2 linked regions of the Saccharomyces cerevisiae S288C genome follow. The protein of the gene in region 1 interacts with the protein of each later gene in a biochemical or structural test. Each region holds a gene or a part of one and is shown on either strand. Other genes may lie near its edges.

Region 1 (3,678 bases):
ATCAAAATTTTCAACCTCACCGCGCTGAAAAACAGGACTACGAGTAGTACCGAACAAGTTCAGAAATGGAGCCATTGACAGTGGTTTGCCATTGGTGGCATTGATATCTGGTGGCAACAAATCTTGTTTCAAAGCAGAAATAAACCTGGCCGCAGAGTGCACTAGGACGGCTGACCTATCAGCTTGAGTGATGTTTGGCAAAGCGTCATCTGCGAGAACCAAGAAGGGATTCCTGGGTAGGACATCGTCCTGAATCTCCCTAGTGGAGGTCTGGTTATTGATGTCTAAGTGTAATTCATCAAGGTAGCAATCCCTAGTGTCATGGTAGCTCTGTAGTTTAGATTGCAGCTTCTCACTTACGGGATTCTCTTCAAAATCTCTTATTATGGATGACAGCTTCTCAATTTGTTCTGGATCTAAAGGATGTTGATAGTAACCATCAGCATAATACAATGGCTCTAAACTCTCCTTCAGACGCTGCAAAGTGTCACAGAGTTTAGGTAATGGTAACTTGGGTAGTTCTTCCTCATGCTTAAATGTTCGCCCCGACTTGTCAGACGAAACAATAGTACTGCCGCTTGACATGGTTGCTTAGTTTTATTTTAATTTTGATTTTTGATTTTCATTTCAAATGAATCAATTGCTCTTACTCATTACAAACACATTTATATAATTTTTTTCTTTTATACGCTCCAATTAGTGTCATTATTATGGGGTAGTCATTCATCGTGATGATTCATTATCGGACCGACGGGAAAATGACGAAAAAATGCAAGGTCAGTAATAAAAAAATAATATACGGCTACAAAGCGAACATACATACATTTCACGCAAAGCAATCTATTTCTTCTTTTGGCCTAATTGTGACGCAACACGGGCTGCCTCTTCAACACCATTGATAATACCGCTCTTGACGCCCTTTTCTTCCATTACGCACAACCCGGCAATAGTTGTACCACCTGGTGTGCAAACTTGATGCTTTAAAACGGATGGATGAGCACCGCTTTTCTCAACCATCTTCACTGTTCCTTCTAGAACTTTCATGGCACACTCCTTACTCTCTTGTAATGGGATTCCCAATTTCAACCCACTCTCCATCAAGGATTCTAACATCAAGAGAACAAAAGCGGGGCCTGAACCGACTAAAGCCGTAGCAGCATCCATGTTCTTTTCTGGAAGCTCAACGTATTTACCAACTTGGCTAATCAATTCGTTGACCAGTGGCTTTTGCTCTTTGGAAACATCAGCTGAGTAGGACACCACCGCACAACCATATCCGTACTTGGCAGGTGTGTTCGTCATAACACGGCAAACAGTGCTAGTGTATTGACTCAATTGGTCAATTGTCCAGCCAGCAGCCAGGGAAATAAGTAGCTTTCCCCCAATGACGCTCTTCACACCATTCAACACTTCTTCGGCCAAAAATGGCTTGGTACCAAGAAGAACTACAGAAGCTTCTTCGACAGCGCTCACGTTGTGACCGTAAGTGCTTTCGACTTTAATACCGTTAGGAGATTCGTCGAATGTCTCAACTAGATCGGTAACTTGTTGTGCACTAGGTTCATCATGGTTACATGTGATAATTTTGGAAGGGTAAAATGCAGCAGCAGTTTCATCAGCCGCCTTTGGAGCATTATAAATGGCGGAAAGAAGTGCTTGGCCCATAACACCGCAGCCTAAAATTGCCAATGTGTAAGTCATATCTGTAGTTGGTTTGTTTGCTATTGGTGTTGTGTTACTTCTATTGTTGTTACACCGTTCTTAACCTGGCAATGTTATTAAATCCTTCATATTCTTGTTTTCGAAGATAAGATCTTGTCCTTTTGTACGTATGCGACTTTATATAGTAATAAATGGCATTCTATGGCAATGTATGTAGGTTTAAGGAGTGACTCAGGATATTACACCTTCTTTTGCTGGATGTACTCAGCGACAATAAAATGTAGGAAGTCCTCTACTTCTTTAAAATCAGAAAATGTTGTGTCAAAGGACACTGCGTTGGCTTCCGTACCAGCTGAAAACTTGATGTGAATGAGTGCGTTACAATAGTTAGGACTTTCGAGCATTAAACTTAGATTAGGGCTTTTGTGCTCAGTTAATGGTAGATTTATTTTGAGTTCACGTCTAGGTATATTCAATAGTTTATCGAAGGCACGGATCTCTTTATTTAATTTAGTTATATTTTCATCATCAATGTTTTTATTTTCTTGAGGTTGTTCTCTCTCAACTTCCGTTTCTGTTATACTTGAGCCAGGAACTATATCGAGCACGTAATCCTTTATGATTTTTTTTAGTAACAGTTTGTAATTAGCAAACCGAACTTTACCAAGAATGGGACGTATTATTAAGATATCATCGTCAACATTCAAATTGATCAGTCCGTGGGGTGAGCTTATTCTCGATCGTAATGTTTTCTTGAATATAACGACTAATAATAGTCTCAACATAACAAGCATTAAATTTGCTCTCTTGTCGTTGATTTTTGGTAAGTCTTGTTCATGATTGACAATGGAGTCATCGTCAAGGGACAACAACTCGATTTCAAATTTTTCGTTAGGTAGTTCAATTATTACCTTGTTTTCGTTTTCAATACTGACACCATAGGAAATCAACAAAGCGCATTCTTTCTTTATTTGGTACATCAGTTCTTTTTCAAAAATGATCTTTTTCAAAAGTTGGATTTGCTTTCTGATATCTTTCGTTTCAGCTTCTTCACTTTCACTATCCCTATCCATCACACTTTCGCCACTCAATATGTAATCATCTTCTGATTCGATTTTTGTGAAGATACGAACCCTTAAGAATTTCTTTACTGAATGTACGAAATCAGTGCCTTTGAACACTGAACTACTGTGGGGTATCAAATCCAAATTTTGTGATTCTATATTATTCCTTATATTAGCAATACCTCTGTCATGCTTATAGGTAGATCCAGAGTCTTCGTAACCATACTTAATTGCCAACAGCTTTTGACCACTAGTCCTGTCCCTAATCTTAAAAATAACATCCTTGTTGCTAATACTCTGCATTATCTTATTCCAATAGTCATGTTCGTTCTGTAATATGGAACTCAGTTTATTAAAACTTGCGCGTAGGAGATCTTTAGATTCGTTTAAACTTTGTAACTTCCATCCCTTATTCAATATATCCAACTCGATATATTCTTTTTTTGTAGGTGCAACATATGGAATTTTATCACTGTTTAAACTAGAAGGTTTAACAACTTTCCTAAGAAATGGTGACATTGATGACATACCTGTAGACTCTTTAACACTCGACAGTAGCAAAGAAACGAATTCCAAAGCCAAAGACGATTCGTTCATGGCCAGATTTATATGCTCTAGCATATCCCTCCTTCTTTTAACAAACTGTTCCTGTGTCATTACCGTTTCAATATTATCATCGGTCTCGCCATTTTCATTCGTTTTGTGGTCTGTTTCATTTCGTGAATCCACTGGATTATCTTTATCTTCATAATCCACTTCCATGAAATCTTCTCCAATTTGTACATTCTCATCAGCGCCATCAGTGTCCTTCTTCTCGCTGTTATGACCGTCACTACTATCACTACCAAGCTGCTTAATCTCATTTTGCAATTCTTTTTCATTTAAATCAACGAATTTAAAGCCTGGACCACGCTGTCTTAAGATGATTGGGATCAATTGCTCCAACGGCATG
Region 2 (2,967 bases), on another chromosome or scaffold:
ATGCTAATAAATATGAAAAGTCAATACCTCCTGTAACTTCGTCTATTCAAGCGCAACAGTCTACGAAGAAGGCGCCTCCTCCTGTTGTAAAGCCAAAACCTAGAAATTTTTCTTTAAAGGCCAATGAATATCCCAAGGAACTTACTAGGGAAGCAACTGGACAAGATGAAGTTTTAAACTCCATTACCAATGAGTTGTCGCATATCAAATTAAGAAAAACAAACGTTAATTTGGAAAAGTTAGGCGGTTCGAAAAAAGTGAAGGACTCTAGCCCTGTTCCCTCAGATCTAGATGAAAAATATGTGTCTGCATCGGGGTCTATTACTCCACCAAGGCCTCCACCTTCTAGGTCTAGTCCAAAGAAAGTGCCGCCTGTTGTCCCAAAAAAGAATGATAACCTGAAGAAAAAGCCACCAGTGGTCCCAAAGAAAAAGCCATTACTAAAATCGCTCGAACCAAGACCTATTGAAATGGAGAGGGCCTATTCGGGAGATATTTCTGCTGCTGACGATAACTTAAATCCTTTTGAAAGATACAAACGAAATGTTGTTCCTCAAGAAGATGACAGACTGCATAAATTAAAATAATGAAATAGCTACGCAACATTGAACTTAATACTGGCTAAATTTAGTTATCCGCCTTGGTAAACAATCCGTATCCTTTATTTAAACTGTCTTCTCAGGAACATTACTTATCTACATAAATAACATTAACCCTGTCTACGTACAGTATATATTTGCGTGTGGTTGTCAAACTTTAGATGAAACGATACTCAACGAATACTATAAAACCAGAATGGTAAGGGTAAGATAGCGGGAGCAAAAAATCACAAGGATGCACCTATTTAGATAACAAAGCAGCGAATTGTTGAATGTTGATCTCGCCTGATCCATCACTAACCTCTCTTAGCATATCATCTACTTCGGCATCAGTCAATTTTTCACCAATGGATGTTAGCACGTGTTTCAACTCAGCGGCGGAGATTAAACCATCACCGTTCTTATCGAATACTTTAAAAGCTTCTAGTAGTTCTTGTTCAGAGTCATTTGATTTGAGTTGACGAGACATCAGAGCCAAAAATTCACTAAATTCGATTTGATGGTTACCATCAACATCTATTTCGTTCATCAAATCATTTACTTCTGCTTCACTGGGCGAAAGACCCAATGACCTCATCACAGTGGCCAATTCACTTGATGAGATAGAGCCATTGTTATCTTTATCAAAGAGGGCAAAGGCTTCTTTGAATTCAGCAATTTGTTCTTCGGTAAGATTGGAGGACATTGTACTTTTTTATTTGTATTAACTAAGCTCTTTCTTTGTAGTTCGATAGTTTCCGGTCAAGAATAAGATTTCTATCCAGTCAGAGTACCCTTGTGAGTTAACAAGATCTCTTGTTAAACACCTTCTTACGCGGGCAATAAAAAATTCTAAGAATAAAGTCATATCACAGTACACGAAAATATAAATACATCTTGAAAATGTCTCAAATTGGGTGGAAAAGAGGGTGCTTGAATTCATTAGGACATATGGTTGATGTTCTCAGGTTCTACTTATGTTTGCTTTGTCGATTTTTGCATGCTTTGACTGTGACTTTCCTGTCTGATATCTTTGTATGGCTTGTTGCTAAAACAAGGTCAATCCAAGCAGTGATCATCTTGCACGTTGCTTCAATAGAACGCGCATATAGCAATCATCAAGTTAATTGGTCATATATCTTTCAATCAGCAATTAGCAAAGCCATTAGAGGGTAATTGTAACGGCATTTTAGGGGCTATAGTCAATTGGTGAAAATGTTTTTGGAAATTCCTCGGTGGTTACTTGCCTTAATAATATTATACCTTTCCATACCGTTAGTGGTTTATTATGTTATACCCTACTTGTTTTATGGCAACAAGTCGACCAAAAAAAGGATCATCATATTTGTGCTGGGTGATGTAGGACACTCTCCAAGGATATGCTATCACGCTATAAGTTTCAGTAAGTTAGGTTGGCAAGTCGAGCTATGCGGTTATGTGGAGGACACTCTACCCAAAATTATTTCCAGTGATCCAAATATCACCGTCCATCATATGTCAAACTTGAAAAGAAAGGGAGGCGGAACATCAGTTATATTTATGGTAAAGAAGGTGCTTTTTCAAGTTTTAAGTATTTTCAAATTACTTTGGGAATTGAGAGGAAGCGATTACATACTAGTTCAAAATCCACCGAGCATACCCATTCTTCCGATTGCTGTGCTATACAAGTTGACCGGTTGTAAACTAATTATTGATTGGCACAATCTAGCATATTCGATATTGCAACTAAAATTTAAAGGAAACTTTTACCATCCTTTAGTGTTGATATCTTACATGGTAGAGATGATATTCAGCAAATTTGCTGATTATAACTTGACTGTTACTGAAGCAATGAGGAAATATTTAATTCAAAGCTTTCACTTGAATCCAAAGAGATGTGCTGTTCTCTACGACCGCCCGGCTTCCCAATTTCAACCTTTGGCAGGTGACATTTCTCGTCAAAAAGCCCTAACTACCAAAGCCTTTATAAAGAATTATATTCGCGATGATTTTGATACAGAAAAAGGCGATAAAATTATTGTGACTTCAACATCATTCACCCCTGATGAAGATATTGGTATTTTATTAGGTGCCCTAAAGATTTACGAAAACTCTTATGTCAAATTTGATTCAAGTTTGCCTAAGATCTTGTGTTTTATAACGGGTAAAGGACCACTAAAGGAGAAATATATGAAGCAAGTAGAAGAATATGACTGGAAGCGCTGTCAAATCGAATTTGTGTGGTTGTCAGCAGAGGATTACCCAAAGTTATTACAATTATGCGATTACGGAGTTTCCCTGCATACTTCAAGTTCAGGGTTGGACCTGCCAATGAAAATTTTAGATATGTTTGGCTCAGGTCTTCCTGTTATTGCAATGAACTATCCAGTGCTTGACGAATTAGTACAAC

Evidence for each region.
Region 2: the proteins of PRO3 (region 1) and CMD1 form a complex in vitro, tested with the Saccharomyces cerevisiae proteins (one study listed by BioGRID).

Annotation. Positions count from the first base shown.
Region 1 is NC_001137.3:199,099-202,776, reverse strand, and holds PRO3 (pyrroline-5-carboxylate reductase), read right to left. Parts: upstream 1,702-3,678; coding exon 841-1,701; downstream 1-840. Other genes in the region: carnitine O-acetyltransferase YAT2, read right to left, coding at 1-585; SRB4 (Srb4p), read right to left, coding at 1,902-3,678.
Region 2 is NC_001134.8:457,079-460,045, forward strand, and holds CMD1 (calmodulin), read right to left. Parts: upstream 1,285-2,967; coding exon 841-1,284; downstream 1-840. Other genes in the region: AIM3 (Aim3p), read left to right, coding at 1-587; ALG1 (chitobiosyldiphosphodolichol beta-1,4 mannosyltransferase), read left to right, coding at 1,794-2,967.